Tribolium castaneum: one gene and its partners. The protein of the gene in region 2 interacts with the protein of the main gene of each other region in a pairwise test. Links are inferred from orthologs where the notes say so. Each region holds a gene or a part of one and is shown on either strand. Other genes may lie near its edges. The genes, in order: lwr, Sumo and Su(var)2-10.

Region 1 (4,120 bases), on a different chromosome or scaffold from region 2:
ACTAGAGTTATTTTAAGGTTCTTTTCATAAGCTCTCACTAAACCTAAATTTATTCGTTTACAAAATATTACAAAATGTTTTTAATTTTTTTTTGGATTTGCACCTTCCAGTTCAAAAACTGATAACTCTACCACTTTTAAAAGATTTTAAATCTTTTTCAGCTTATTTAAAAGAGGAAGCCTAGAACTTTCCTTTGGCGTTTTCAAATTTCTAAAAAAGAATAACAAATAATTAAGTTATAGGTACCTGAAATTGTCCAAACTTAACCTTAAAATTTTTGGGTTTATTAACTTCATTTTCAATTTTAAACACACCAAAGAACAGATAAAGGCCTTCTTTTTTAATTCTCCTAATATGATTTCCAAATCGCTAAACTAACCGAGTTACCAATTTTTTAAGTGACAGGTGCAAATCCAAAAATTTTCAAAAAATCTTAAATATCCTAAAAACGGTAAATTTTAGGTATAGGGAAAACTCTTAAAATAACTCAACTAATCCAAAAACGCAGTGAAAAACATAGCTTTTCATTTAAAATAAGAAAGTTAACAGCGACTTCCGGTATAACCGGAAATGCTGCCATCTTGAAAATATTTTCATTGGCAGAACTTAACGGATTATGATTGACTACCAACTTTTAAAAAATTTCTTTATTAGAGCTTTCAATACTTCTAAAGTAAGGTTTAGACGGAACAGCCTGTAGTTTACCATAAATAACAATAAGCACTGAAACCTTTAGCCTGTATTTGAAGAAAACGCAATTTAAAGTGCACCCTCAAACCAATGTATCTTTATGGGAAAGCCCCGAATCTTTATTTTTTTCTGTATTTGAACTACTGAATTAATTTCTCTTTAGTGTTCTGAACTCCGAAATCGTCAATTTTGAGCCACCTTGTATTTTACGGTTTATTGAACCTAATTATTAATTTTTTGCAGCCTTGAAACTCATTCAGGAGGATTTTGACCAAGAAAATGCCAAGATCCAGGCAAAAGTTGATTTGCAGCAAGTGACGTCGAACTAATCAAATTCGCGCCAATGTTTTTGCCGCCAAATAATTATTACACAAATCCGGGTTTTTGTATTCGTTAAATTTGTTTAAAATCATACACGAAAAGTTTGAATAAATAAATTGTTCTGGAACAAATAATCGGCGACAGGGTGGCCAACACAAGTCGCGTCTGCGCGAATTCCCCTACCTGTTTTCCCAGTTTTTGTCTGTCAACTGTCAAGAAAGCACCGAAGCCCGTTAAATTTTCCTTTAGAGTTTGAATAAGGCCCCATTAAATACCCCAGTGCCCACTTTTAGAGTACGTTTTGGTCATTTCGTGCGATAATTTTGAGGTAGAGCCTGATTTTTAGTTCTAGGATGTCTGGAATTGCTCCCGCTCGTCTCGCCGAAGAACGCAAAGCTTGGCGCAAAGAACATCCTTTTGTGAGTAATTCCTTACAAAATTGCCCTCATGTAATCCATTTCTCCGCAGGGATTTGTGGCCCGACCGTCGAAAAACCCAGATGGCTCTCTAAATCTAATGAACTGGGAGTGCTCAATTCCTGGTAAAAAAGGGGTAAGTTTGTTGCATTGTTTAGTAATTGTTGGGTTATCGCATTGTTGTGTAGACGCCATGGGAGGGTGGAAATTACAAATTACGCATGTTGTTCAAAGATGAGTACCCAAGCATTCCCCCAAAATGTAAATTTGAACCACCGTTGTTCCATCCAAATGTGTATCCGTCAGGTACGGTGTGTTTGTCGTTGTTAGACGAGGAGAAAGATTGGAGACCGGCGATTACTATTAAGCAGATTTTACTCGGAATTCAGGACTTGTTGAATGAACCCAATGTTAAAGATCCAGCACAAGCAGAGGCCTACACAATCTACTGGTAAGTGGTTTTTTTACGGGGTGTTTACATTTGACGTAGTCAAGAGTGCTGTGGATATTGTGATCACGTGATCAAGGAAATTTCGTATCTAGTAATCCATGAAAATGAAAACTTAGTTTCGTAAAGAAAAGGCACTAAGACAATAAATGGACAAGGTTACACTACGGACATCTAAAGGTTAGGATACGAAATACAAATTAGTACAAATAAAGCGTTATTGTCCTCGATAGTTCCGTTAATGTCACCAGAGGGCGCAGTTGATCCATTAGCATCAAAGCCAGTAGATATACTAAAGTAGCGACACGGACCTTGACAGGGCAACAATAACGATTATATACTCTAGAGAGGGCGCAACTATCGAAATTCGACATATACCGCATTATTTACATAAAATGCGTAGCCTTGAAAAGCCTTAGTAAGTGCGTTTTGTCTCTGTTTCTACGTTTAATCTTCACTAAATGAAATTGCTAAAGGGGATGCTCTAAAGAGATATTCGTTAAAGGTCACATTAGATGATAGATTTAAATCGAGAATGTATTTAAACAGGCAGTTTAGTTTTCCAAGGCTCGACATTTTTTGTAATAACGCTGTAATTTTAAAGGTTCGCCAAATTGTCAGTAATTTTGAACATACGTCAAAACTGTCAAGATTCTCTCACTTTTGAAAAATTGGTAAAGAGCACAGTGATTCTGGCGTTCATCTGTAGTTTTACTGTGGTTATTGGTTATGAACAGATTTCATGGAACTTTCAAACCTGTGCTTAAATCACGTAAATAATAAATCGACACCAAAAACATTAAACAAAAGGGCCTCCAGACTGTTCAAAGTCGTCCACATTACGAAGCACGTCTGTGTGAGAATACTGGAAACTCATTCAAACAAAAATTGTTTCAGAAACATAAAGTGTTAGGTACCAACTTGAAAGAGAAATTTCTAAGATACCAAATTTTCAATAAGTATTTCAGGTAGATTTAAACAATACTTCCTTGAAAATTCTTCTAAATTATTAGATTCTGTCCTAATGGGAAAGAATTTAAGACCGCTCTGCTTACACTGACCTTCGTTTCACAAAATTTAATGCATCTAAATCTGGGAATTGTAGCGCATCGAAGTTTGGTGGACTTTTTATAGCCACTTATTTACAGCAACTATGGTATGCAACATTTAAATAATAAAGAGAAATTCAGGTTGTATTATTTCTATTTCTTAGGTAATATCGAGGTGTAAACCGTACCCCAAATTTTGTACACCTGTAATTTAATCATGATTCCTTCTGATTTTTCCCTAAATTTTTAAAGTGATTTCCTTAAAATTTCTTGATTTACTCAATTTTGTACACTGATTTCCTCTGCGGTTTACCTCTCGGGTAATATTGAAAACATTTTCTATTCTTATTGCGAAAAATGTCTTGGTTTCATAGCAGTTGTTAATAGTGTTGAGGGAAAAAATTAAATTTAATTAAAAAAAAATAAATCGACCAATTTAAAATCTTGGAGTAATTACATACGATAAACTGTAAAAACACTTAGAGAGGAGTTTATTAAAATTAGAAATGTAAGTATCACAATTTTTTTAAATCAAACAACTATTATTTTGAAACGTGTTTTTGGCTTTTTCGTTAAATACAAAGTTCAAATTCTTTTAAGGAATGAATTCACTGTTGAAGCGCCAGCACCTTCTTCGAAATGTCCATAAGAGTTGCTGTATTCTGCGCATTCTAAAAGCCTTTCTCATTGCAATGTTCAGTTGAATTTAGGGACGATCTGATTTACTTTTACGTGAGTGAAGCACAAGTTTGAAGGTTTCATGGTATCTGTACACATAAACTGTAATAACCAGGGTGAAATTAAAGACGATCACCGAATTCATTGTTCTGATTCACCAATTTTTCAAACGTGAAAAAATCTTGACATTTTTGACGTACGTTTTTGAATTTTGATGGTGGAGCCATCTGTAGAGTGTATAATCGTTATTGTTGCCCTGTCAAGGTCCGTGTCGCTACTTTAGTATATCTACTGGCTTTGATTAGCATCAGGTTTTCAGAGCAATGAATTTAAAAAAATTGTTGGTAAATTTTTACTTTAGCTACTTCTGGATTTTTGAAAATTTTTTTTTTGCATTTTGCTTTAAAAAGCCTCTAGATCAAAGATATGACCTTGAAAGTTTGTGCAAATGCCCCGTTTTTGAAAAATTCGACCTTGAATGACCTTGACCTAAAAATTTTTTTAAAATTTTTCCTTTA
Region 2 (3,064 bases):
TTTATCGAAATCTTAAAAAATTCGTATCTTTATTAAGTTATTTTGAATGATACAAACAAACAAAGATAAGGCAAAGACATTAAACATATTTTTATACTTTTTTACGAATAACTTAACGATTTTTTTTCAACTACTCGGACACCTTTCACATTTCATTGACAAAAGTGTGATTCCCTATCATTTTTGAGAATGATGTGTCGAAAGTGCCCTAAATTTGTTCCACACCATTGTATAATAAAATAACTTGTATTTTTTTAAAATATAAACAATAGGGGTTGTGACATTGGAAACGCTATTTTTTTCTGATTTCATATACCGGGTGCATGTATCTATTTGTATGGTACACAATTTTTAAATATTAAATATCTTTAGAACACATATTTCTCTTTGTAGTTGGTCATCAAAAAATTTTGAATCTTCATTTAGAACTAGTAGTATCGGGTACTATTTATACAGGGTGCTCAAAAACTGGCGCACCAACTCAGTGGTACGTTGTTGAGAAGCATGTGTAGATAACGGGAAAAATATTGCAAAAATTCCTAGTCATATTTAAAAAAATCTGGAGCTACAAACTTTTTTTGTTAACTTCTTCAGTTTTCATTATTTTTTAATGTTTTTATGTTTCGCACTAAGTAATCATTCCCTAACAAAACGATGAATAATTATTTTTAAATTTCCTACGACTTTAGCACTTTTTTTTAAAAATAATATTTATTAAAAAAAATAAAATTCAAAAAAAATCACAGTTAGTAGATGTGCCAACACTGGGAATTATTTCCATATCCACATATCATTTATCTAAAATCCGTTATTTATCAATAACTTTAATACAAAGAATTTTTTTACTATTTATACCTTTATATGTAACCAATTCTCTTCCACACTCCATTGAGTTGGTGCGCCAGTTTTTGAGCACCCGGTAGTTTCACGATTTTTTAATCATTTAATTTTAATAAAACTATGAGGCGGTTGTGTATTTGTTCGATTAATAACATTAACATACTATATAATTTCACATTTTTTACTACAATAATCGTTCACCTTTTACGTGAAATACTTTTCCCATAGCCAACTACTATTAAACATTCATTATGTTTTTTATCAAAAGTACTATGTAAAAATATCGAATTGCATTTATATCTTTTTCAGAAAAAAATAAACTTTTCTTAAATGTCACAGTCAACTATAATTTCTGTTTAAAAAAATACATCTTATGTTATTATTATAGATAAGTGAATGAATGGTTAAAATAATCGTCAACAACATTATTGAATTTTTCTAATTTTTCGTCTATGTATCTTTTATAATAAGGAAGATACGTTTTTTTTTATAATTTCCCTAAAATGTCAACTTGTTTGTAACTCAAAATCATAAGACGATTGCAGGATGCAGTTTTGACCAAAAGTATTTTCTTAAAAACGTTCTCGAGAATGTTTCACTCGTTTTTCTAAACCTCTTAGTTTCAGGGGTGCCCTATTCGGACTTCCAAAATTACCCCCTTTTATTCTTCTGTTAATTAAAAATAAAAAATAACTTGAAATTTAAATAGGAAATAAAATAAAAACAAATTACTGATAATTACAAAGAAAAAGCTTCATTTTATTGTTCTTGCATTATTATAAAGGAGGTGTTGTTTTTTGCATATTTTTTCAATAATTAAACATAAACCCTAACATAAAAATAAAATAAAAAATAATGTTATTACTCAAAAAGTCAACAACCAATGATGTCATAAATGTTACTATGGTGTAGCATTTACAGAAATAAAATCGACCTGTTTGAGGATTCTTTAAAAATTACAGATAACCTATGATTATTAACCAGAGTTGTTGTTTTTTTTTTTATAAATTATTAAAATTGCGTTCCGAGCTCATCACGAAGAAAAGGTCTCTTTTAAGTGATTTAACATTTTTATTGTACACTAGAGAGTGTTTGGGGTTTGGTTTGAGTCTATGGTGACAGTGACTGGCTGAATCTTTAGTGTAGTATTTATTACAAAAATGAATAGTTTGAGTTGTGCTGCAGTTGCAAAGTTTTGCTTTTTTAATTGCAGGGCTTGAGCATGCAGGTCGTGAGGTTCCGATTTGATGGAACCCCAATCAACGAGACGGACACTCCAACATCCCTCGGGATGGAAGAGGGGGACACGATCGAAGTGTACCAGCAACAAACTGGCGGATATTGTTAAAATTAATTTTATAACGCGGCTTACCTTGTAATTACCGCTAGCATTGAGAATCTCCCAGTGTTCGTGGTCAATTTGAGGTAGTTTATGTATAGATTTAAGCTAGTTTCTAATATAATTTTTAAGGTTAATCGAAAACAATACTACTTAAATGAGCACTTTTTGTCGCGTTTTCAATGTCTAAATTCCTGTACCGCAATGATTTTGTTTTCAGTTTTAGTGAAACTTCAGTTGTGTATTTCTTATTCTTAAATTAAAATAATACAATTCTTTTGATAACTTAGGGGATTTTTTATTGCCTTAATGTTTTTTCGATTTTTTCGTTTTTACAGTTTTTTCGGTTTGGCTCTTGTGAGTGAACACTTGATCACCACTTGACCTGAAATGTAGATTTCCATATACAGTGGCGCCCAACAAACATATTAGGCTAATTATGGCAATTGTCTCTACCCTGTTTGGTAGAGGGACACCACAGGCTGTGTACCAATAGGAGCCTTCGGACGGGGGCTTGCCTCCAGGTAAACAATGCCAATCGAAATATTTCTCATCGTAATCTGTTGCGCACAAATATCTTCGTTTTTGTAACGTCTGAAAATTATTATTTATTGATTTATTTCACTTAAGAAATATCTCACCATTCCGAATGCGGTTTGAATTGGCACATATTCGTCACAAGGTCCGATTGGTTCTTTAACACCCATCGCAATTTCATCCTCGGGGTTGAAAAATATAGGAATAATCAAAAAACTGATATAGTGTATGAATAAATGGGCGATCAATAACCAAGTACTCCAGTATGTAGTGTGTTGATTATTTTTCGCCTCAACTGTATCTTTCGGAGTGCGATCAGCCGACCATATAATCAAAAGGAAAATCACA
Region 3 (2,172 bases), on a different chromosome or scaffold from region 2:
ATTTTTTCCCGCCGAATGTCATCGTCAAAGTTAACAATAAACCATGTCCTCTACCAAACCCAATACCAACAAATAAGCCGGGGGTTGAACCGAAACGACCACCAAGACCGGTTAACATAACGCCAATGGTTAAGTTAAGCCCCATCGTGGCCAACATGATTACGGTGTCATGGGCGCCGGATTACGGACGAGGGTATGCCATTTCAGTGGCGTTGGTACAAAAATTAACTTCGTCCGATTTGTTGCAACGGTTGAAGGCCAAAGGACCCAAACATTCCGATTATACGCGTGGATTAAGTAAAGTCGTGTTTTGGTCCGAGTGGCGTCAGTTAACTCGATTATTATTTTAGTTAAAGAAAAATTGAAGGAAGATGCGGATTCTGAGATCACGACGACTTGTCTCAGAGTCTCTTTGATCTGTCCTTTGGGCAAAATGCGCATGACGACACCGTGTCGTGCCATCACGTGCAATCATTTGCAGTGTTTTGATTCGTCGTTGTTCCTACAAATGAATGAGAGGAAGCCGACTTGGACCTGTCCAGTGTGTGATAAACCGGCCCTCTACGATAATCTAACCATTGATGGGTAAGCTGTTTTTTTGAGACAGACCGATTACAAAAAAAAAATTCAGTTATTTCCAGGAAGTGTTAGCTTCGCCTAACCTCCCACCTGACTTGAACGAGATTCAGTTACACAAAGACGGCTCTTGGAGCACCCAAGTGTCCGATAAAAAAGTGACAAAAAGTGAACACGTGCCGATCGATGACTCGATTGAAATAATCGGCGATGACATTGGTAAGTCACCACTCGGCTCCGCCTCGTCTCACCTCCCCTTTTAGAATTAGTCACGTCAGGCACAACTGCAACTTCCTCAACTGATAAGTCAAAAGACGATAAATCGAAGGATAAAATCGTCGATTTGACGTGTTCCGACTCTGATGATGACGAGCCGTTGGCGAAACGTCGCGTCGTTAACCCGAAGCCTGACTCGACCATCAAATTCTCAGGTGATTTGAGGTAATGCTGTTGTTGATTGTTAATTGTTTGTTTGTGGTAACTATAGATACGACCAGTATTTCGTCAAGTAGCAACCAATCGCGTGTGACTACGACTCCAGGTCCGTCGAGTGTTTCTAGTTCCGGATATCCGGCGAGTCCGTCAATTATTACGTTGGATAGTCCGTCCCCGCCCCGTTCGCCGAATCAGGCCAATCAGCAGCCGGCTTCTTGTATGTTGGCCAATCAGAACGGGACTGGGAATGAAGCTGCGTCGCTGTTCACGCCCGGTTCGATGCCGTTTTTGGATTTGGAGAACGAAGCGAGTGCTAATATGAATTATACAACCGGGTATTAAATTCAAAGTTACCGTTAAGTCAAAAGTTAATTTAATTTCAATAAACGTATTTTTGTACATAAGTTAGTGTTAATTAAGCTTAATGAACTTTTTCTCAGTAGTGTGTTACTCCAGTTAGGTTGAATGTCTTATTTTTCTATAATTGCAGGTTTTTTATTTATAATTGTTTCATACCTATTTGTTTTTTGTGAAAACTATAAGTCGTAATAAATCTTTTTTTGATAAAGTTCGTGTTTTATTTACATGGTTGAAAATACACAACAAAAAACATGGAAATATTTAAATAGTTTGTGTTAAAATATCTGCAAAAGATGGTCAGTAGCTGGGGCCTAGTGGCCCAGTGGTATAAGCGCCACTTACGACGGGGGAGGTCGGGTGTTCGAACCCGGATCAGGGTGAAAATTTTTCTCTGAAAAAAAGTGTAGAAAAGGAAGGTGAAACAACACGTAAACAAAAATAAAAGAGGAGAACACATAGACGTATAAACGTAAAGCGGAATTTAAAAAAAATGCTGGAACGTCATATTTAAACCTACTTGCATTACAGTTGTAAATAACATTTTAACGATCGTTTTAGACGTACATATGAATGTATTTTGTTAAATAGAATATCAATTTTTTAAGCTGTATAACTGGTTGCATAATATTTATTGAGACGTTTAAATTTTTAGCCAAATTTCTTTGCCATTATCTTATCAAACACCCGTATTGTTTATAATAATATTAAAAATTAAAGCCGAGATAAAAATAAACAATTTCCTGATAAGACTTGTCCGCGGATCAACGTATTTACCAGTCCCCCACTTTCTTGTTTTTAATA

Evidence for each region.
Region 1: the proteins of Sumo (region 2) and lwr interact in binary tests that used the Caenorhabditis elegans proteins (3 or more experiments, as listed by UniProt). The link is inferred for Tribolium castaneum from reciprocal best matches to the Caenorhabditis elegans genes smo-1 and ubc-9.
Region 3: the proteins of Sumo (region 2) and Su(var)2-10 interact in a two-hybrid assay, tested with the Caenorhabditis elegans proteins (2 studies listed by BioGRID). The link is inferred for Tribolium castaneum from reciprocal best matches to the Caenorhabditis elegans genes smo-1 and gei-17.

The regions. Positions count from the first base shown.
Region 1 is NC_087399.1:9,253,895-9,258,014, reverse strand, and holds the start of lwr (SUMO-conjugating enzyme UBC9-B), read left to right. Parts: upstream 1-1,157; 5' UTR 1,158-1,305; intron 1,306-1,357; 5' UTR 1,358-1,364; coding exon 1,365-1,430; intron 1,431-1,479; coding exon 1,480-1,563; intron 1,564-1,615; coding exon 1,616-1,878; intron 1,879-4,120. Other genes in the region: transmembrane inner ear expressed protein, read left to right, coding at 934-1,019. UniProt on the Caenorhabditis elegans protein: Accepts the ubiquitin-like protein smo-1 from the aos-1-uba-2 E1 complex and catalyzes its covalent attachment to other proteins with the help of an E3 ligase such as gei-17.
Region 2 is NC_087394.1:15,056,816-15,059,879, forward strand, and holds the end of Sumo (small ubiquitin-related modifier 3), read left to right. Parts: intron 1-2,053; coding exon 2,054-2,188; 3' UTR 2,189-2,468; downstream 2,469-3,064. Other genes in the region: uncharacterized protein LOC659449, read right to left, coding at 2,486-2,773, 2,821-3,064. UniProt on the Caenorhabditis elegans protein: Ubiquitin-like protein which can be covalently attached to target lysines as a monomer. Does not seem to be involved in protein degradation and may function as an antagonist of ubiquitin in the degradation process.
Region 3 is NC_087396.1:21,167,102-21,169,273, reverse strand, and holds the end of Su(var)2-10 (E3 SUMO-protein ligase PIAS2), read left to right. Parts: coding exon 1-297; intron 298-350; coding exon 351-585; intron 586-631; coding exon 632-795; intron 796-839; coding exon 840-1,007; intron 1,008-1,063; coding exon 1,064-1,353; 3' UTR 1,354-1,579; downstream 1,580-2,172. UniProt on the Caenorhabditis elegans protein: Functions as an E3-type smo-1 ligase. Mediates smo-1 conjugation to air-2 in vitro and is required for proper chromosome alignment.